Linked DNA regions of Kluyveromyces lactis. The protein of the gene in region 4 binds, or shares a complex with, the protein of the main gene of each other region. Links are inferred from orthologs where the notes say so. Each region holds a gene or a part of one and is shown on either strand. Other genes may lie near its edges.

What was found. Proteins that work in one complex are often made in the same cells at the same time.
Region 1: RSM25 (region 4) and RSM27 share a complex: the UniProt entries of both Saccharomyces cerevisiae proteins name them as parts of the mitochondrial small ribosomal subunit. The link is inferred for Kluyveromyces lactis from reciprocal best matches to the Saccharomyces cerevisiae genes RSM25 and RSM27.
Region 2: RSM25 (region 4) and MRPS8 share a complex: the UniProt entries of both Saccharomyces cerevisiae proteins name them as parts of the mitochondrial small ribosomal subunit. The link is inferred for Kluyveromyces lactis from reciprocal best matches to the Saccharomyces cerevisiae genes RSM25 and MRPS8.
Region 3: RSM25 (region 4) and NAM9 share a complex: the UniProt entries of both Saccharomyces cerevisiae proteins name them as parts of the mitochondrial small ribosomal subunit. The link is inferred for Kluyveromyces lactis from reciprocal best matches to the Saccharomyces cerevisiae genes RSM25 and NAM9.
Region 5: RSM25 (region 4) and MRPS12 share a complex: the UniProt entries of both Saccharomyces cerevisiae proteins name them as parts of the mitochondrial small ribosomal subunit. The link is inferred for Kluyveromyces lactis from reciprocal best matches to the Saccharomyces cerevisiae genes RSM25 and MRPS12.

The regions. Positions count from the first base shown.
Region 1 is NC_006041.1:1,439,259-1,443,508, forward strand, and holds RSM27 (mitochondrial 37S ribosomal protein mS33), read right to left. Parts: upstream 1,966-4,250; coding exon 1,639-1,965; downstream 1-1,638. Other genes in the region: GPI1 (phosphatidylinositol N-acetylglucosaminyltransferase), read left to right, coding at 1-1,424; KLLA0_E16149g (uncharacterized protein), read left to right, coding at 2,128-2,292; RPS0A (40S ribosomal protein uS2), read right to left, coding at 2,526-3,200, 3,897-3,986. UniProt on the Saccharomyces cerevisiae protein: Component of the mitochondrial ribosome (mitoribosome), a dedicated translation machinery responsible for the synthesis of mitochondrial genome-encoded proteins, including at least some of the essential transmembrane subunits of the mitochondrial respiratory chain.
Region 2 is NC_006041.1:140,464-144,562, reverse strand, and holds MRPS8 (mitochondrial 37S ribosomal protein uS8m), read right to left. Parts: upstream 2,107-4,099; coding exon 1,639-2,106; downstream 1-1,638. Other genes in the region: BUG1 (Bug1p), read left to right, coding at 350-1,306; AIM36 (Aim36p), read left to right, coding at 2,654-3,307; U4/U6-U5 snRNP complex subunit SNU23, read right to left, coding at 3,498-4,058. UniProt on the Saccharomyces cerevisiae protein: Component of the mitochondrial ribosome (mitoribosome), a dedicated translation machinery responsible for the synthesis of mitochondrial genome-encoded proteins, including at least some of the essential transmembrane subunits of the mitochondrial respiratory chain.
Region 3 is NC_006037.1:1,005,482-1,010,840, forward strand, and holds NAM9 (mitochondrial 37S ribosomal protein uS4m), read right to left. Parts: upstream 3,088-5,359; coding exon 1,639-3,087; downstream 1-1,638. Other genes in the region: SRV2 (adenylate cyclase-binding protein), read left to right, coding at 1-1,432; EAF7 (Eaf7p), read left to right, coding at 3,479-4,687; peptidylprolyl isomerase FPR1, read right to left, coding at 4,986-5,330. UniProt on the Saccharomyces cerevisiae protein: Component of the mitochondrial ribosome (mitoribosome), a dedicated translation machinery responsible for the synthesis of mitochondrial genome-encoded proteins, including at least some of the essential transmembrane subunits of the mitochondrial respiratory chain.
Region 4 is NC_006041.1:743,081-747,442, reverse strand, and holds RSM25 (mitochondrial 37S ribosomal protein mS23), read right to left. Parts: upstream 2,299-4,362; coding exon 1,513-2,298; downstream 1-1,512. Other genes in the region: FAP1 (Fap1p), read left to right, coding at 1-171; EFM6 (putative protein-lysine N-methyltransferase), read left to right, coding at 477-1,277; KSH1 (Ksh1p), read left to right, coding at 2,702-2,920; rRNA-binding ribosome biosynthesis protein UTP25, read right to left, coding at 3,263-4,362. UniProt on the Saccharomyces cerevisiae protein: Component of the mitochondrial ribosome (mitoribosome), a dedicated translation machinery responsible for the synthesis of mitochondrial genome-encoded proteins, including at least some of the essential transmembrane subunits of the mitochondrial respiratory chain.
Region 5 is NC_006042.1:669,242-673,351, reverse strand, and holds MRPS12 (mitochondrial 37S ribosomal protein uS12m), read right to left. Parts: upstream 2,143-4,110; coding exon 1,639-2,142; downstream 1-1,638. Other genes in the region: ARC35 (Arc35p), read right to left, coding at 258-1,238; type 2C protein phosphatase PTC6, read left to right, coding at 3,194-4,110. UniProt on the Saccharomyces cerevisiae protein: Component of the mitochondrial ribosome (mitoribosome), a dedicated translation machinery responsible for the synthesis of mitochondrial genome-encoded proteins, including at least some of the essential transmembrane subunits of the mitochondrial respiratory chain.

The DNA.
Region 1 (4,250 bases), about 700 kb from region 4:
TGTTCTATAAGAGATATGCAATATACAAGAACAAATCAACGTTGAATATTTCGATAACAGATTTGAAATTGCGGATGCGTGCAACTTCTGTTTACAGAGGTATTAGATGTTTAGCTTTTTATGGTGCCGCCTTGATAAGAATTGTTGCAGGATTTGTGTCGTATGTTTTAAATTGGAGGGTATTGCCATTGGTAAAGTTATTCGCAACTGCTCAGCAGATTGACCTTAGATGCCAGCAACTTTGTTATATTCCAGTACAATATCTAAGGATTAATAAAAATGTCAAATTGACTGATCTAGACCTTCGAACAGATGAAAATGGTAGCATAGATGAAAATGATAAGAGTTCGGGTTTCACTAAACGTCGTAAAAGCCACCTTGTGCTACCGAAAGCACTTCCCTGCGAAACCTATCCTGATTATATTCGACTTTACAATACTCTTTGGCTCATCATAAACGATGTTTCGTTTGGTGCCACACTAGGAACTGTGTTATATGAAAACCGTATTACATTGGCCCAAAATATCAGTACAACTTTAAAGTATTTACTTTATGAGCTTCCCATGCAGGTGACGTTGATTTTAGAACAAAACCCACTGGGTATCAAACTTAATGATGAGCTTTCCAGGTTTTTAAGCTCTCTTTTTTTGTTAATCATCGAATTCACTTATACCGGATGGATTCGCTCGTGCATTGAACCAGAAACTATACGACAGGGAATAACAGTAATGTCTCATATCAGTGCTGTCATAGGGTTCACTTTCACTTTGGCCCTGGCTGTTGACTTCCTGTGGATCATGACGCTGCATATCTCATTATTTTACATGATTAGTGTCAAACTTTATCATGTTCATATCTATGTGTTGAAGAGTTTATTCTACCTGTTTTATGGGAAGAAGCAAAATGTGTTACGTAGAAGAGTTGATGATATGTACTTCGAATTAGATCAGCTATTGATGGGAACTTTAATATTCACGGTGTTAATCTTCTTGTTGCCAACGTTATTTTCATTCTATTTGGTATACACAGTGTTCAGATTTGTTGACCTTACAGTGAAAGTGTTGCTTGAACTAAGTTTGGCCCTTATCAACCATTTCCCTTTATTTGCATTGCTTTTACGGATAAAAGATGCTAAAAGGTTACCTGGTGGTATCAAGTTCAAAGTATATGATGATCACTTATTAATATCGAATAATCCAATCAGCTTTTTCATGACCTTTGAACCATTCACAAACGTCATGAAATCCATTCAAAGACAGATGTTCTCGGTTGAGACTTTGAAGATGGTGAGTCAGGGATCAGTTCTTAATGTACGAAGAGATGAACTCTATCGTGTTTTGTACCATAATCTACCGAGACATCCAATTGATATCGATTTACTATGGAAAAAGTTAAAGATGGTAATGGAACAAGATACGATATAAACCCCTCTCACAACCACAATTAATGGCACAGATTGCATAGTTTGAATCTTACTTGAATATTCGTATTTAATAAAAACATAGTTGAAATTCGTTAAATTCTTGGGTCTATTTGAACTGACTGATATAATTTATATACAAGGTATTTTTATATGATGGAAATGTTAATTGCAAGTCCCTTTAAGTGGGATAAAAGGATAGGCTGGGCTCATTTTGATCACTTTCTCTTCTTGGTCTTTTTACCGTCACCAGAGGCCTCTCTCTTCTTAGTTGGAGCACCCTTACCTCTACGCTTTCTTAGTTCAAGCATAGTCAATCTATATTGTTCTTCTTCATCAACGAAGTTCATGCCTGGATATAGTTTCTTCAATTGCTTGAATCTGATAAAATCTGGGTTACCATAATAATTCGCAATAGCAGGTCCTTTAAGCCTCTGTGCTAGGATCTTAGACCCAGTTCTGGCATTTGTTGGATTGAAATTTTGATCAAAAACTTTGGCTGATATCTCAGCAAGCTTCAGTAGCCTAGATTTGGGTACAGACATTTCTCAAAATATGAAAATATGAGTGATAACTGATGGAACAACCCGCAAACTAGTTCGCTGAGAGTTAAAGCACACCTAAGACCTATTTATTGGTACTTTCACTTACTACTTCTGCAGCAGGTTTCTATTTTATGCAAGCTCAGTTTTTTTTCGAATGTTCCAATGTTCAAATTTTCATTATCAGGAAATTATCACCATGATGAGGATAAGAGCGATGAGAGATGCGAGAAGGGTCACATTGCCATACTGGGTACTGAAGCACCATTGAAGGGGAAATATTCAGTTGGCACGTTCAATCAATTAAATAATATTCAATTCTTTGTATAATTATCGGGTACTAGCCTGGATCAATAATGATATTAAAATTATACACGATGTGGAGTTTTAAAAACTAGTAAAAATAGTTAAAAATATGAGCGGATGGTTGAGAGTTGTTGCATGAAGCTATAATAATAACAATGATAGTATGCTAAGCATTGAATCTATATTATAGAATGATGAATTAAACAAAAAAAAAGGTGGAATAACTTCCAGGAATTCAGTTAAAGAATTCTTGAAGTTTAGTTCCATTCTTCTTCTTGAGCTTGACCTTCTTCAGCCCATTCAGCAGCTTCGGTTTGTTCTTCAGTAGCGTCAACGGCTTCTTCAGTTTGTTCACCGGAAGCAACAGCTTCTTCTTCAGCAGTTTGTTGTTCGATTTCTTCTGGGTTTCTGTAGAAGTACAAATCTGGCATGATAGCCCATGGTTGAGTTCTGTCTGGTAGAGCACCTCTCAATCTTAGGACTTCTCTAGCCAACAAGTACCAGATCAAACCGATGGAGTGCTTACCTCTGTTGTTACATGGGATAGCAACATCAACGTATTCGGATGGGGAGTCCAAATCGGTCAAAGCGATGACTGGGATGTTAACGTAAGAAGATTCCTTGATAGCTTGAGCATCGGATCTTGGGTCAGTAACGATAACCAATCTTGGTTCCTTGAAAGATCTGGTGATGTAGTTAGTGAAAGAACCTGGGGTAAATCTACCAGCAATTGGAGTAGCACCGGTGTGAGCAGCGTACTTCAAGACAGCTCTTTGACCATAAGTTCTGGAAGAGATAGCAACAACATCTTCTGGGTTTGGAATGGCAGCAATGATTCTGGCAGCCAAAACAATCTTTTCCCAGGTCTTACCAACGTTGATAACGTTGACACCATCTGGTCTAGCCTTGTAGACGTATGGTTCTTGGTGAACCTGTTAATAATTAAAAAATAACCATGCAAACGTTTCGTTCGCAAAAGTTAAAAATATATTGTTAGTAAAGAGAGAGCTTTTTCCCAACCGCAACATGCGACAGGATACACTTTTCGAAGTGCAGATATTACCATATGATAGAGGAGATGTTCGTGTACTTTTTTATTATTATTTTAGTTCCCTAGAAATGGCAGGCCATTTCAATTGTTGTTCTTTTAACAGATTCAGTTAAAACCATATCCTCTCGTACTTCAGTCTGATATCCTTGTTCGAAGGGAATCAGAATTGAAATAACGAGGGGAAATAGAATGTTTAACGTACGTATATCCTCTATGCTGTTAGGTAAAGAGCAACAAATATAAATATTTGCATATTCTTTCTTGTGAGTGAAGCCATTATCCTTGACATCAGCACTCATTTAGTTAGTAGCACCGTGCCAAATATTCAACATCCATGATTAACCTGCGGAGAGGCCTAACCAATGTTATTGATTTAAAACACGAGCAAAAACAAGGTACAAGCATAAGTACAGAAGTATCATGACAGCTAATCTTGCTGTGATACAATATTCTCTTTTTTGTAACAGTTCTTTCTAATTGATGCATTTCTGGTATTGAACAAACACCACTCCTCTTATCGAATACGTATTATCCAAACCGAAGTTCGTATCCATATTTCGTAAATTTCTCAACATACTTGGACGTTCTTAGCACCCAAGTGGACTCTGGCAGCCAACAACAATTGGGCGTCTTCTGAGGTCAAGTCGAAGGTAGATGGCAAAGACATTGTTTGATATATTCTTGTTCTCTTGGAGCTATCAATTGTGAATCGTAACCTGTCCTATCTAACGTATTATTGTTGATGAGATGAACAAGTATATAATGATGCATGAAATATTAAAGTGAGATATTGTCCAATGTTCCGATCTTCCAATGCATCAAGCAAGTGAAATTTCAGAGGAGCGGTTCGAGTTAGAAAGGACTGAACCTGCCCCATCCCTGCCTAGGAAAACACTCGACTAAGCCTAGCTCCTGCGCGGACTCCGCCCTT
Region 2 (4,099 bases), about 600 kb from region 4:
TAATTTGATATTTACCAATCGCATACCGAATAATAAAGAACATGGTACAAATACTTTGAGTTTGCTTCTCAAAAAGTCTTGAATCTTGTTCTCTTTCGAACCTAAATGGCTTTGAAACATTGTGAAATTAAACGATATTATTTGATCGATGTTTGCCTCAATGATGGTGATTCCTTTCTTATTAAATATGTGTGAACCATAACGACACGTTTAGATCAAAAAAAAAAGTTGCCCCATATGAAATAAGAATTTACATGGTGAATGCCAAATCTGAAACAATTGCGAGCTAAATATTAAAACCAATTGGCGTCTTCAATGCAAGTGAGTACACACATTCGAACAGTTGATTATGTCTGAACTATCCCCCGAGGAAGAAAGAGCCAGAAAGCTCGAAGAAGCCAAGATAAGGGTTGAAGAGTTAAAGAAGAAGAATAAAAACAAGAAGAATAAGAAGAAGAAGGACAAGGAAGATCTTGAAGCAGCTGAAGTCAAAACTGAAACTGAAACTGAATTGGAACCGACTGATACTAATGTATCAGAGAGTCCGGTTCATTCAGATGAACAACCAATCGTGGAAGAGACAAAAGCTGAAGAAAAGGCTGAGATAAATGCTGATGCAAAGGGCAATGACAACAACGAAGAGAAGTTTGAAAAGGAGTCTGTGGAGAAGTCTGAAAAAGAGTCTGCGGAGAACAAGAAAGACTCCGAGGAGGAAGTCCTCGAGAAGGAAGCAACTGATATACCCAACCCAACCGAGGAAGTGTCTAAAGAAGCTTTTGCAGTTCAACAAAAAGAGGAAGAACCAATAGAGGCAAAAAGTACAGATGAAGTTGAAGAATTGTTTGGCGGGAATGATGATAAAGAGAAAGATTTCCTTTCGACGATACAAGAACAGAAAAGCCAAGATGAAGTAATAAACCTCAAGGAAGAAGTTTCAAAGCTAAAAGATCAAGTAAAGCAATTGAAGTTTGTCAACATAGATCAAGAAAGCTCCATAGAAGAGCTTGAAGAACAGATAAACATCATGAAATCTCAACTCAATGATAAAACTGTACAATTGCTGTCCGCTCAGCAGGAGCTATCTACGTCTAGACAAGAAGTAGAGCAGCTTAGAGCAACACAATCACCACAACTAACCCCTGTGGAATTCTCTTCCTTTGATAGACATTCTCCATCCAAATTCGAGCCATCGAGACAGATTCAGCATCCAACGACAGACCCTGTTATGTTAGCTAAGTGGAAGAACTGGAATGTCGATATGACAAATTGGAGATCAGTTGGTGTTGGCCCAGTTGTGGAATTTTAAGTAAGTTTCAGCCTTGTTACTATTACCACAGAGCTATGATTTTTTTATGATTTGTCTCATTTGTCTCGTTTAGGCAAATATAATGCTATAATGTACAAGTATACAATTATATTAGTGTATGTATAAAACTGATATTTGACACGATTGATGATTGTCGCTAAAAGGAAAATCGCACTGATTGAATGTTACTATATACATGGAATATGAGGTGGATTTCCTTTTGATGATATTGGAAGTTTCGATGGTCCATCACACATGTTGATGAAATATTCTGCACTTTGTTTTTGATTATATGACTAATGGTCTTTATTGCTGGGAATTTTACTGATGATTCACCTAATTCTGCATAGCACTTCACCACCGACTTTCTTGGCGATAGCATCATCGATATCCATAATTTCATTCCCAGATTTCACTAAAATTAATTCACCAGGAGCCAAAGGTTTGATCAATCTGACGGAGGTACCTGAACATAGTTTCTTCAAATCATGTGCATCTAGACTGATTCTCAAGTTTGGTTTTGATATCAATCTACAACTAGAAATAACTGGCTTGTTTTCCCTGTATTTTAAACCCAACCACAGTTTTCTAGTAGCGATATTATCTGGCGTTACGTCTACCGGTGTGACATCTGGGCCCTTAGTAGATCCTCGTTGTAAACTGGATAAGAAGCCATGCTTGTATAAGTTATAAGCGAAGTTCAAGTGTAACTTTGTATATGGGATTGAAGTCAAACCAATTCTTGCGCGGGAACAGTTTTGCAAGTGCGCGCAAACATTACCCAAATTCACTAATGACATTCTTGACAAAGTGTATCACAATTGTTATGGAAGCTTAATGAGGATCGTTTTTCCTTGATTGGAGAGGCCAACCCGGTAACAGTTTATCATTGAAGAGTTGTCCTTCATCTCATGTGTATAGCCCAAATTTTGGTGAACAGAAAATTTTTAGAATATCTACATATCCCACCCGTACATCACACCGTCAGTGTTTGGAAAGAAATAGCCAACGGTGTCTTTATCAGCCTAGAATGAAGCGAAAGCAGTGTTGGAAGTAAGCTGCTAGATGCAGTTTCATATAATCTTCTAACTGTACGCCTTCTCAAGCCAGGGTCCTATAATGGCAATCTCCTTACCTCTTCTCTTTTGTTTTGTACCTTATCACTTTTCTATCAAACCTGTGGAAATATTTCGTCAATGACATTTTAAGATCTTTCAATATAGCTTGCTGGAGAAGATCCGGAATGTTATGACATTTTAATTAGGATTGCTTCTTTGTTTCACTACGAGGCCTATAGCCAATCTCATCAGTAGCTATCTGCTGCACTATACAAAGATCAAGGCCGATATGTTCGTACGCGCTGCACCAAGATTATTGAAGTCTCCGGTCATGCGCCGGATGCTGTCTGGAAAAATGGATAAAGCTGAAGAACCACCAAGTTTTAAAACCATTTTACTTGTTGGTTTAGTTGGGACTGCTATTTTTGTTAAGGCAGTCGACTCTTTGGAACAGAACAAGCCTAAAAACACGTACACATTCTCTGAATTTGACACTGTGATGAGTGGTCTAAGAAGAAGAGTTTCGATCTTTGAGCAAGATGATTTAAATTTAAGATGTGTGCAAACCGGAGTTGCAACCAAGAAACTGAAATTCCCCGAAGATGCGAAGGTTATCAAACCTTCAGAAGCTATTGAATTCTTCAGAAATAAGTCTGACGATAAATATTATGTGCTTTTAAATGATTTATATGAAAAGGAGGGGAAATCGTACATGGAAAAACTACCAACAGGTCTCTCTGTCGTCTTGATAGGTAAATATATGAAGGAGAAATGTCAAAAGGGTGACACTGTTTATCTACTTGACTTCCCAGACAATATAAAAGATGCGATCAAGTTCGAAAATGAGGTTTCCGTTATCGACAAAGTTATTGTACCAAATTCAGAAGGAGACGGCCAGGTTTCCAAATACTTTAAAACCGTGGATAAAGTTGAGACCATCTAAAATGACCCCTCATGCCATTTTCCCCATCGGCACCCTTTTGCATATATCTGGGGACTTCCTATAACAATCCATCCAACTTTATCTCGATTAAACTTTGTAAATATCATCAGTATCTAATTGCCATTCAGCAGAAGTACGTTGTGAATAGTGGGATGTAGATATGCTTCGAATAAAAACGTCAATATTTATGTTATTTCTTGGAACTTCCGAATTCTGTGAAACCCATTAACCTGCCGATTTCAGACTGTGGTTGATATTTGATTTCTGCATCAGATTTCTCACATTTGACTCTCTTTGCCGCTTTGCGTTTATTGGATCTCAATTCAGTGTCCCCGATAAATGCTGATACAGATTTATGAAACTGGGATCGTACCTCATTAAGTGGTACTAGATCATTATCCCTCGTATCTTTTATCAATGGCTCGTTGAATATGTTCTCAAACCGTACAACATGTGATTTGTGATTCAAATGGTTAATGAATTGTAGTGTGTCTTTGAAGGTTAAGTCACATATGTCACAGTAAAACCCGAACTGTTTACCTTTTTTCTGCTGACTTAGATTGGCTGATAACGTCTTTTTATTGATGTCGCGTAGATTATACTCGAGTAAAGCATTGTAGTCTGTGTATCTATCTTTTAAAGCTTTCAGTTGTTCCTGGTCTAATGATGAAAGATGAGATTGCCCTCCTGGAGAAGTTGCTGCCTTGGCAGCATACTCTTCTCTATTCCATGTTCTTCGTCCAAATGACATATTGATTTATAGTGAATAGTACTCCTTCTCAGAACTCAGTA
Region 3 (5,359 bases), on a different chromosome or scaffold from region 4:
CGCATCAGCAGCTTCTAAAGAAGCCGCAACACCGGTAGCAACAGCACCAAACAGTACTGGTGAATCGAAGGAGGAAGAACCGAAATCAATTCAAGAATTTAAGCATTTCATTGAACAGAACGTTGATCCTTTGGTTAAATTATCCGCTGAAATTGATCCTACTGTTGAAAAAGCTGTGGTGTTTTTAGCCAACGCTTTCAAAGCTCAGTTGGTGTTTTTAAAGGCAGCAGTACAATCAAAGAAGCCAGACTTTTCGTCATCTGCATTCGTGAAAGGTTTGACCCCAATTAACGAGAACATCTTCTCTATTGGTGAGTTGAAAGAGGAGAACCGTAACAGTAAGTATTTCGCTCATTTGAATGCTATCTCTGAGGGATCACCACTGTTCTCATGGATTGCTGGATCTACACCTGTGTCTACTATCACTGATTTCAAGGACGCTGCCCAGTTTTGGACAAATAGAATCTTGAAAGAATTCAGAAGCACTGATCCTAAATCCGTTGAATGGGTCCAACAATTTTTGTCCGTTTTCGATAGCTTGAAGCTGTACGTTAAGGAATACCATACCACAGGTGTGACTTGGAACGACACTACTGGTGAGGATTTCGAAACCGTATACGAAAGAGTTTCCAACGAGGGATCCGGAGCTTCTTCTTCTGGTGCTACTTCCAGTGAGCCGCATAGTTCAGGCGCCGGAGCTCCTCCACCTCCACCTCCACCTCCTCCGGCTTCCGTATTCGAAGTCAATGAACAATCAAAAGAACAAGAATCTGGTGGAATCGGTGCTGTGTTTGCTGAGTTAAACCAAGGTGAAAACATCACTAAATCCTTAAAGAAAGTAGAAAAGTCTCAGCAAACACATAAGAACCCAGAACTTCGTGCCTCAGGGAAGGTTTCTGACAAAGCTGTTCCTCCACCTAAACCAAAGAAACCATCTACTCTGAAGACTAAGAAGCCTCCAAGAAAGGAATTGATCGGTAATAAATGGTTTATTGAAAATTATGAAGATGAAGCCGAACCGTTAGTGATCGAAACTAAAATTGACGAATCTGTTTTCATCGGTAAATGTGTCAACACATTGGTACAAATCAAAGGTAAGGTCAACGCAGTTACTGTCAATGAAACAGAAAAATGCAGTTTAGTGCTAGATTCTTCCATCAGTGGTGTGGATATTATTAAATGTTTGAGATTTGGTATTCAAGTGGAAAACACCCTGCCACAAATCACCATCGACGCGTCTGATAGCGGCTCCATTTATTTGAGTAAAAACTCTTTACAGGCTCAAATTTTCACCTCTTCTAGCACTGGTATTAACATCAACACTCCAACTGGTCCCGATGGTGACTTCGTTGAAGTTCCACTTCCAGAACAGATGATACACACTTTCGTCGAAGGTAAACTACAAACCAAGATTTACGAACATGCTGGTTGAATATCTGAATAGTATATCTTCTCGTTACTGGGTGTTAGTTTATTCTTTACTCATTAGAACATATAAATATATATATATAATTAATATAATATGATACGATAAAATAATGATAATAATATGTACAAGGTTTCCAAGATACACCATTCTTTTTAAATTGTCATAGTCACAGTGTATCCATTCTTTCGTGTGTATTTGTTTTCGTCAACTTATTTACCCCTTCTCACATAGTACATGTATGAACGTTCATGTACAGGTAAGCCGAATGGAGTAATAACTTCAGATTGACCTGGACGTGCAACAGGGTCTCTTAAGTAGACCGCATGACATGTCTTGAATGATATTTCCAAATGGTGTGGTAGAATGGCGAATGGTGCTAAGAAGGGTCTTGGTTTCCACGGAGTGAAATATGGTTTAGATGGATCGTTACGACCAAACACACCCTTTTGCCATGGTAAATTGATAGCTTTTTGAGCAGCTGGTTCGTTTTCCAATAGTTCAGGAACATTGATCTTTTGATGCAATGGTAACTTTTCAGCCCACTTAGCATCGTATGGAATATCAACAGAATCAACGGATGCCATCTTGTCATTATAATGTTCTCTGACCACGGTTTCATAGAAATGTCTCAAATCAACTATAGTATGATTGATGGCTCTGAATTTTTTCTTTAAGGCATCGTTTGTGTTATCAACAGGTTTAGTTATTCCTGTAGCCACCTTTAGCAATTCACCTTGTTCATTAGGAATTTCAGCCAAAGGCTTCCCTGCTATCGTTTCCACAGCCTTGGCAGACTTGACTTCTCTATAAATTTCGAATCCTTTAGCTGCCAAATTTTCGTTATTGTAAAATTCGCCCAAGAAATCTTTTACTGCCAATTTTTCTACATCGTTAACGCGGTTAACGGTAGAAAAGATCTTAGCTAACAAATACTCGTTACTGGTTTGGTCTAATTCTTTCCTCATTTGAATGTGCATGGTTTTGTTGTAGTTTTCGAGGAAGGATAAAAATTCCTGTTTCTTTGGATCGTTACTATCCATAGTTCTTAGTTTTTCGATCTTTTCATCCCAGAACTTTCTAGGATTCTTTCTAGCCTCTAGAATATATTTGTTCCATAGGAAAATTTGGGTATTATCCACTTTCAAAGCTTCCTTCAAGCTAGGTTTCTTGGCACCAAGAGCTTGTAGCACTTTTTCGGGTCTGACGTTGAAAACATCACCAGCTTTCAAGGCATATCCCGGAGAAGTAATCTTTACACCATTCACATGGACGTTGCCATGTAAAATAAACTGACGAGCTTGTCTCACTGACGAGGCAAACATAGCTCTAAACAAAGCAAAGTCTAGCCTTTTCTCTAGTACAGCGTATGTTTGTAATAGAATGGGCGTCGGTTCGATATCACCACCCCTTAGAGAAGCATCTAATTGAGCCACAGAGTTTAGCTGAGGCTCGAAAACAGACTGCCACCTACTCTCTGTTAAATGTTCGCCATGGTAGGCACGAGTTTCCTGTTTAGAAGTCCATTTCTGTTGGTATAGTGTTTTCGATCTAAAACTGACCTGAGATTTCTTATACAAGTTGAACAAATTGTACTTGTTAAAAGAGGTACGAACCTTCCCTCTGGACAAAGAGTTCAGAAGTACAGCTTTCCTAGGCATTGCTGGTCTTTTTCTTCACAATGTATTGACAAAACTAACCAGAATTGACTGCTTACGGACTCTTCGAAATGGAAATACATTGCATATCCGAACTACCTGCATAATATTTTTCAATCAAACGCTATCTAATGCTTGAAGCTTTCCGATATTGAAAAATTTTTAGAGGAATTTCGTGACATATGATATCAAATATTAGCATTCATAGTTTAGAAAGATGAGAAACACCATAGAACCATATTGAGATGGACTGGCGAAGATGGTATCAAGCCTCATACGATCTGCTTTATCAGCGATCTTGATAGGAACTTTATTATATCAATTGCAAGAACGTTCTTTTGGTGTATAAGGTTGTGATACTTCAGATAAAAGTAATACGATACGGTTCACTGCGATGTCCGCTGTAAAGATAGAATCACCTAGAGGGCAAACATGGAGTAAAGTGGAGGAAATAAGGCTGTTTAAATGGATGATGCTGTTCAAACCTGCAGGAATACATAAACACTTCCATATGGTGTGTTTGCTTGAGCGATTGAACAAGCCAGATCAGTATCCAATCAAACTTTTGCAAAGCGATAAAGGCAGCTCAGATAAAGTGTTTTCTGGGGAGGACGTTTGGGAACAATTGAGTCGGTACTATAATTTAGAGAAGGCAGATGAAGTAGAGAACCAGCCATACCCTGAATTTTATAATGATGACGGACCAACCGAAACTACAAACAAAAAGACAGAAGGGGACGCTCAACTAGATAATGATGATGACAGTGACAATGATGTTGACAATTGTGACGAGCTTAAGAGAAATATAATACCATTACAAAATAGACTCCAGCAAGAGACGGAATTTGAACTATCGTGGGAAGATTATGGAGAACTTATGTTAGAACATGCTAGGGATCATGAGGTGGAAGATATTAAGCAAGAGGAGACCGCTTCTGCGGATGACAAGGCAAAACTGAAGGGTGCGGAATCACAGGATACGCAAGTAGAACAAGAGTCAGAAGAGCCACGGGAACGAGAAAAGGATATCGATGAAAAGGATACTGAGCAAAATAATGTACAGGCGAAACAAGAAATGGCGACCACTCCGCCAGTCAGTGTTGGAGAATCTGTGAGCGAACTGGCGAATGAACCTGTCGATGAACCTGTCGATGCTCATAAGAAACCAAGGACAAGACGCTCTACAAGGTTGACACGTTCACAAAAGCGAGGCATTGATGACGAAAGTGAAAACAAAGAAGACCAACCCCATGGCGGAAACACCGATGAAAAGGAAGATGTCGAACACGATACAGAAGGGAGATCTGGTAGCGAAAAAGAATCGACTGCTGATGCCGCAGATACTACAGCTACAAAACAAGTCACATTTGCTGATGAATCTGAAGGTGCTGCCAAGGAATCAGCTAATTCGCCGACAGGGAAAGCAGAAGAGAACGAAACGGAATCATCTCAACAGCCGCGCCCTAAGAAACAAAAAGTTGCCGCTGCGGAGGAAGTTCCTGAAGATCTTGCCGACGTGGATTCTCCAGCTAGGAGAACAAGAAGAAAATCCATAACAAAACCAACTACAAGGCTCTCGAGCAGGCTTAGAAGCAGGAAGTAGTTGTTCTTGATTGTTTTTTCAATAATGCAATAACAACATAATATAGCTAATGGTTTATATTATAGGCATTTCGTTGATGTACAAAAATTGAATGTTAAAATGGAAGCATACAAACACTACGGCTACAATTTGATAGCAATTCCCATGTTGAAAGGTTGATGAGAAGGTACGGAAAGATGTAAAGCTATAATAATAATAATGGATGGGACCAATTGGAAGGAATCAAGGGAGAAACCAAAGAAAAAATGTGAAGGAAATTAATAGTATGTGTTTTATTCAGAAGAATGACATTATACATCTAGTTAATCTTCAACAATTCAACATCAAAGACTAAAGTAGCATTTGGTGGGATCAAACCTGGGAAACCACGTGGACCATAAGCGTATGGGCCTGGGATAGTTAGTCTTGCCTTTTCACCAACGGACAACTTTGGAATAGCAGCATCCCAACCCTTGATAACTTGACCTACACCAATGTTACATTGGAATGGAGAACCTCTATCAACGGAAGAATCAAACTTTTGACCGTTTTCCAAAGTACCAGTGTAATGGATTGTTACCAAATCGCCTGGTTTTGGGAAGTTGGTACTGTCACCTGGTGATAATCTTAGAATTTGAACGTTACCTTCAATTGTTTCGGACATTGTTTCTGCTGTTTGATGTGTGATAGCTG
Region 4 (4,362 bases):
AACTCAGTTTTGATTTTCCCAGAGAATTATTCGGGTATAACAAAAAACACTGCAAGTGATATGGAAAAAGTCATTCCGTTTATAAAGACAGCACTACAAGATCAAATGTTGGCTACAGGTGTGGAAATGTGTCAAGTTGATGAGAATTTGTCCCTAGTGTCTCAAGCATAAGAGAAAAAGCCGGCCAAAAAAGTACATATATAAAAAAACTGACGCACCTATAGTCTACAGACTTTTCATGCATAACACCTCAGCAGAAGTTTCATAGCCTTCATTTATTTATACACTATAGAGAGAACATATTCAATTGCAGATTCAGTACAATGTACATCGTATTGTAAATGGAATATATTGTCGTTGGATGTCCTTTTTTTTCACATCATGAAGAAGTTTAGTCTGTAAACTCTAAAAAAAGAGTGAAAAATACGACTATTCCGAGAAAACCTGTAGACAAATTCCATATTATGTAACAGTCGATGTCACTTTTAGAAGTGCTGACGAGAGATCGAAAAGAGCGAACAGTGTTGGAGACCTGTAAGGCATTCATTATGGGGGATGTGCCGTTTTCAAGTTGTTTTGAGGAACTAGTGCCAGCTAGGCCAATTGAGCATCTGGGCAAAATTGATATGTCTTTCAATGGAAAACTGCCGAGTCCTCTTATAATCAATGAAGATGGTGGTGAATCCGGATGCGGAGGTAAAGTGTGGATAGCAGGTGAACTGCTATGCGAATATATCCTTGAAAAATCCGACAAGGAACATTTGCTAAGTCATTTGTTTCCAGATGGGAATTGCAATAGCGTTTTGGAACTGGGTAGTGGTACAGGTCTAGTTGGGCTTTGTGTTGGTCTAATGGATCAAGCGAATGAATATTCAGATCGTGAAGTTTATATTTCTGACATTGATCAGCTGCTTGGTCTCATGGAATCTAATATTCAAGTCAACGGATTGGATGATAAGGTTCACGCCGAGGTGTTATGGTGGGGGAATCCCTTGCCGGATGTATTTGTCAAGAAACCGGTTGATTTAGTGCTAGCTGCGGACTGTGTGTACTTAGAAGCTGCTTTCCCATTATTGGAAAAAACACTGTTAGAATTAACTGATGGGGAGAATGTGCCAATTATTCTAATGGCATACAAGAAAAGGCGTAAAGCGGACAAACATTTCTTCCAAAAGATCAAGAAGAACTTTAAAATTGTAGAGATACGAGATTTTATTAACTTCGATAAATATTTGAAACAGAGAACTCATTTGTTTCAGCTTATGAGGGAGAAATAAAAAAATAGTAGTAGGGTGACAACTGACGTTTGTCAAATGCAAAGACACCCCATTTAGTTTGATCTTTTATGCTTTTTGTGATGCTCATGAAAGTACTTTCAATTCGTGAATTAACTATGAGTAACTTTATAGTTATAGTGACTTATATATACATGAAATTTTTATACAATAATGACAGTAAAACTCAGAGTTCTGACGGGAATAGTGTTCATTGGTTGTGTTTAATTGTGGAAGATCATAGTTGAATTTCCTCAACATCTTGATCAATAGGTTTTTGTTCTTCTTCGGTCTCGTTTGTCCAGGAAGCAGAAGGACTACTTGCTCTGGCAGCCATCAACTCAGCTTGCTGTAAGGCCTTTCTCTTCCATGTGTCAATGACCTTTTGTTCCTTAGCAATTCCGTATTCTATTGAAGTGGTATGGAAGACTGAACCGAACATTTCGGCTTCTTCTTGAGCAACTTGATCTTGAATTTCTTGTTGTATTCTTAGACGGTAGAACTCGAATCTAGCTTGATCATATGCATCAATGAGTTCTTTTTTCTCTCCTGATTTTAATAGGAAAAGCGTCCTTTGTACAACTGATTCGCCATCCAATGGCTTGCCTAGTTGTTGGATATGAGACCAGTCATATTCTTGAGTCTCTAGGGTATTCTCAACAAGAATCTTAGGTCTTGAAAGTTCCCATGGATGTTGCTGGAAGAACAATTTTCTCAATTTATCCTCGATATATACTAATTTTGGGGACTGATATAGCTTCGATGCACCATCTTTCTTTTCCAAAGAATTTGGTCTAGTTTTGTATAATCCTGAAGAATTGGCCTTCCAATTGCTGTAATCAGGTAGTGCAGTTCTAGATTTACCGTTCATAGGATGTGTCAGTTGTGGGGTTCTAGCAAACTTCTTTGTTGGTGGTACCTTCGCTATAACATTGTACCAAGCTGGAGTCTTCTTCAAAATACCAGACTTCAAATAGGCGGATGTACGTTCTAGTACATTAACGGCTTCTTGCTGAACCTTCATTTTATATCTGACGTTTATATGGCCCGTTTACTCTATACTATCTCAGTAAACTCGCAGGTTCAAGCAATCGATCCAATACTTGTTGTCCTGGAGCTGTTCATACAGCATATTTGTGAACTTTTCAACTTTTCACTATAATTTCATTTTGGATCGTCGATCAGATTTTTCAAATTTTTCTAAGTAGAAGCATTCAATTTTTAGATCACGTGAAGAGTAAACATTTTTCACCAAAATTAAAGATCGAAGAGCTAAGTGTATGGGGAGCGTAAGTTCCTTTATTCTTTTCAATACAGTGGAATGATAACTGATGAACCTTAGGTTTCATCTCGTTCCTGTTTTGAAAGGTTCAGAGTAGATATTTTCTTCGGCAGAATATTCACGGTCACTAGCTTTTCTGAAAAACATGTCTGCCCTATTCAATTTTAAATCATTGTTACAAGTTATACTATTGTTCATATGTTCGTGCACATATATTCATGCACAAAGACCATCGCTCCTTGATCGTTATAAGGACAGCGGTATACTAGGAGTATTTTGGAAGTTTGCGAGAATTGGGGAAAGAGCTAGTCCTTATGTGTCTTTAGCTTGCATTGCCATGGCAGTTTCGCAATTCAACAGTTGATAAACCCAAGGGAAAAGATAAAGATAAGTCACAATTGCTATAGGTGAAAGCTCTCATTAGCAAGTTTGACCGGCTCTGAGGTCTATAGAATTATATTTTAAGTATAAAATTAGTTTAATCTATTATCGGGCGGCTATTGGATTCGTTTGCGGGCTTGTCTCTTTGCATCAAATAATTAAGAATTAATATGTACTCTTTGAATCTGACTTTGAGTTTCAAAATTCTACAACAAACAAAGAAGTTGAAAAGTGCAACATATTTTAATACTCTAAGCTATTAGTAAAGGAGAACGATTGCGTAAGTTTTCGGTTTACTAATTATTTATGGCATATTTGATCCACTCTATTTAAACTCGTACACTTCGTTTTGGCCATGAGCCAATACTGCCGCGCGTTTAGATCCTACGACTCTCTCTAGAGAAAGACCGTCCATCTTACTATATATGCATCTGACAGTTGAAATGTTGATATCACAGTTGCCTAAAAATACGTTCTTACCAATATTGCGAACAACTTCAGAATAGAATTCAGGATTTCCCGGAGGCTTGTAGAAAATTACACTCTTGACGTTTTTTATTTCGTACCTTCTAAAGTGGTGCAATCTTTCTGTGTATAACAAGACCTTCACCTTTCCGTGTTGGAATCTTGCTCTATTGGATGTCAATTGTTTCTGGTTAGAGTACTCGTTGATTTCTCCGAATATGATTGTAGTTTTTTCTTTCAAATAGTTTCTAACACGGATGAAATCGGTATAATCAGGAATGTATAATAATATACCATCCTCGTACCCAGTAGATTTCACAATAGACGGAACGATGACACTCGTAAAAAATTTAAACCTGTAATCAGGTTCATCTAGAGCTGTCCCTCCTGCTAAATCAAATCTTTGGAATATTTGTCTAACCTTTAGTCCTAATTGACCAATGCTTGATTGTTCAGGTTTTATCTTCCTATGATTTTTCCATCTTCCAGCAAGATTACGACACTTCCCATTCAAGATTGAGTTGGCAAACGGTGATATGTATTTAGTGAAGACTATTGTTTGGCGGAAGAATTTTGCCTGTTCGTTAATATACCACATTCTGATTCGACTGAAATCTGCTTCCCGTTGCTGTTCCGGAATTTTATTGATATGCTGAAAAATTGTTGTCACATGCATGGCGTTTTGATATTCAATGGAATGCAATTGATCTATGATCATGACTTCAATGCTCGACAAGAAATCATCCTGTCTTTTCTTCTTATCAGTGTTTTCAAGAATTAATTGAATCCCTAACGGAGAGCATATAATGATATCGGACTGATAAAAGTTTGAGTATATCTTTAGGGATTTTCTAGTGAACTTGAGACCCAATACGAAGAAATCATTTGTGTTACCCTGGAAAATATGCTGAAAGGATTTAGGTTTTGAAGTAGGAGGTAACGAATCTTCGAAGAACTGAT
Region 5 (4,110 bases), on a different chromosome or scaffold from region 4:
TCCGACTCGGAGTTGCGTTGTTTTTTTTTTTCTTTCCACTCAGGTAGGTTTTACCCGGTCTTTTTTTTTTTTTTTCCATTCCTCTTTGGTTGTGTTAGAACTGACTCAAGGCTCGAGCGTTTATTGCCCAGCAATTGCATGGCATTACGGAGGGAAAAAAATCTGAATAGGATCATCTACTTGTCACGTGATATAAATCGCTACATCGGCAGCATTCTATTTTATACTTTAAACACATTATTGAAACCAATTTCTACTTAGTAGACCATTTTTCTACCGGTGATTGTTCTACGTGAATCGGATTCAGTTTCTTCGTCTAGCTTTGCTCTATTCAAGACCTTGATGAATGTATCAACACGATATCTCATTCTTGAATGCATGTATGCCTTAGCACACTTGATATGGTAATGGAAATAGTTCCTGAATAGGGCAAGCTGTGACACAGATGTGAACATTAGTTCATCGGAGGAGTAGTGACGTGGGAACAATACAAATGTGATGAATCTCCTGGTAGACTTCTTAGCACCTGCAACGTGAGCGTGTTGTTGGGCTACTTCTTGAATTTCCAAAGGTGGTTCATGGGAGAATAGCACTTGAGGCGCAGATTGGATGGATCTATTTCTCTTTCTTGCGTCTACGAATTCTTGTAGGAAAACTTTACCGAAAACTTTGTCAGTTTCATCTTGGAATATAGTTTCGAATATAACAGTGATACGATCAAAGGACGGCTTGATGTATATGTTTTCATCATCTCTGTATTTGATAACCATAGCCCTGGCCTCCTTTGATTTTTCCACTTGGTCTATTTCATTCAATTGAGAAAGAGCATTACTCTGGCCAAACGCTAAATAGAATGGATATGACATTACAAGGATCTTAAACAAAGATGCTTGCACAATAGATTGCGCAGTGATTTGAGATAGATCAACAGTAATGGTAAAATCGTAACCGGCCTCCTTTTTAGCAGATGATAGAGCCAAACCTGGTACTTCATCGAATTTTGCCTGCAAGAACCCTTGTAAATCGTTCCCACTCTCATTACAAGATTGCGTAGCCTTGGTTCTGATGGAAACTAATAGGTTCGACTTATCAGTGCCATCGTTGGTGATGTGTAACGTTGTATAATCAAAGTCGGAGATGATTCTGTCCAAAGTTAAAGGAGACCCATTGTTGTAAGCTTCCAAAGCTTCTGTTAATGTCTTTTGGACCAATAGGTTGTATGGTTTAAGGTGTAACATTATTATGTATTGATATTAGAAGGCTCACAAGTGTTCACCCAGGCTTTTTTTTCGAACAAGTCTATGAGCTTTTCTTCAATTGACTTGGAACAATATCAACTTGTAAGTTTCCTCAACACTGAGCAGGTTTAGTCTCTTCGAAATTTCCCAATTCCTTGCAGATGATGAATCTTTCTTTCTGTTTGTTCCAATAGGGGCACCTTTTCGTTGAAATCGTTGTTAACTAAATTTTCAGCACTTTTCTATGATGGAAAAACCATCCGAACAAAATTTCGGTCACGTGGCCATAAAGATTGAGCAACCAGTAGATAGATTATTCGCATATTTACATGAAGGTCTAGTTTATAAACATAAGTATATATTTTATGTTGATAATTCAGAATATAATACTGTTGGTATCTTACTCCTTTGTTGGTTTCTTCACACCGTACTTCGATCTGGAGCTGATTCTGTTGACAACACCGGCCAAATCACCGGCACCACGGACAACATGATATTTCACACCAGGTAAATCTTGGCAACGGCCTCCACGAACATATACAATACTGTGCTCTTGTGCGTTATGGCCTTCGCCTGGGATATATGCAGAAACAATGTTACCATTGGTTAATCTCACTCTACAAGCTTTTCTCTGAGCAGAATTAGGTTTCTTTGGCTTCAATACCATCACTCTTAGCACAACTCCTTTACGAATCGGGCATACCTCCAAATCTGGGGATTCAGTGATCTTCTTACGGCCAGGAGGCTTGACCCCTCTCTTTATTTGGTTCAACGTGGCTTGTATTGGTGAAGTATATGAGAAAGAACGTTGTTGCAGTGGTGGTGCAAATGCTATGCTTGAACGAACATTACGCAACGATAGTCTAGTCAGACTACTGCTCAATCCGAAAACCTGTTTGAACATTGGTATCTTTGACAGGATTGTTTCTTAAGATCCAGTGCACGTAAGTCAAACTCAGAGTTGAACTTACGCCAACATTTATTCACTGACCGATTGATATAACTCTTTCAATTCAACATTTGCTTCATAATTTTTTGTCAGTTTCTGATGATGAAAAATCATAGTTGAAAATATTCGGAAGTCATGTGATCGAATATGTGTTGTTGCTGATGTCCGGGAAATTGTTCAGAAAATGTGCATGGTTTGAGAGATCTTTTAACCTAAAAGATTTTGTTCATTTCGTTGGGAACACCAGCTGCACTATGCGGGTTCCGAATTACGAGAAAAGTCCTTACTGAGGTAGTTGTTGTATTTCCTATTTTGAAATATCAAACAACTATACTGGATTATGGACGATCAAGCTGTAAGGTGGGTGCAGGTAAATAGGGTGTTTGAACCAACTACTTGAATTATGCGTGATAGAATATTGCGGGGTAGTTTGACTTCCGGGCTCGAGTAATTAGGTAGGCTGGTGTTAAAGCGACTGTCTATTTTTTTAGTTTTTGTATCACGTGCATAAGATCAGATAGTTTTCTCTCCTGGTGTCTGCTGCCGAGTAACAGCCGTTCCGTCACTATTTGGCAAAATGCGTCAAGATAGCCCCATATACGGTAGTTAACGATAGCAATGGCTTATATACACCTCCATATCACGCTAGCATGTGGTAATGAAACACTAGTGAGATTTTGACGGTTTCCTATATGAAGAGGGTAGTGTTGAAGCACTATTGCGGAATGTATAGAAAAAAAAAAAAAAAAAAAAAAAAAAAAAAACAGTAGGTACACTTTAAAGGAAAATAAATCTAGTTATAATAAAGTCTAGTGAATATACAAGGGTTTGGCTCTTTTTTTTGGCTCGTTGATGCATCCGCCACACACGAGAGAAGTGTTTTCAATTGGCATTCTTGAACCTTTCTTATATGTCTGGGGTATTCGGTTATAAGATATTGTGAGGCTAATTCTTGTGTTACCATTTGTGTTAAGTTGAACACGATTGTGATTATAGCCAACCCGAGATGGGTAAAACCCAGTCATTCATTCACCTAAGGCCAGCTGATCTTCTACAAAAGACAGCTGGCAGATCGACTCTACAAACTACAGCGGCAAGCCATGCTGCTTCGAAAGAAACAAAACCTCATATGTTAAGGGTTCATTTGAACAAATATCCTGGTTTCATCGGGCATGCGACTTCAAGGATTAATAGACTATACAACGAGGATTCTTATTCTATGAATATTCTGAAGTTGCCAACAACTATAGCCGAAAGCTCGTTGTTAAACTCAAAAAAATCGATCGCTACTAAGATGAAACTTTGGAAAGAATTACCTCCCCAGAGAAACGTTTTGAATATTTCTATATTTGACGGTCATGGAGGAGATCGTGTCTCTAAGATGCTGGCTTCAGGTTTGCACGATCATATAACAGCTATGGTCCCCATCAGACAAGAGTTTGACGCTGTATTAAAAAAATATCAGGACTTAGTGGGGGGGAAGTACTGGTCGAGGATATACAAAGGTAGAAAGGAGTACTATGAGAGGTATATCAAAAAATGTAACACTAAAGTGGAGCAAGTCCTACTCACGGACGGTGTAGCGCCAAAAAATGGGGCAAGAATGATCTTTGACAAATGGGGAAACATTATTGACAAGACAAGCTTGTTGAGTGAATACGAACGTTTACGTTTGTACATATCCTACCTCAATTATGACTTAAATGAAATATGTGGATTTTCTTCGGATTTAGAACCAGAAGAAGCAATGAAAATATTCACTGGTGGCTCGACTGCTTCAAGCCTTTTTTTAACCTCTTATAATGAAGAAGAATGTTACGATGAATCATTTTTCATTGCACCACAGGGCTTACTAAAACTGGCTGTAACTCAAATCGGTGACACTAAAATTATACTTTGTGACAAGAATGGTATTGCTCATTC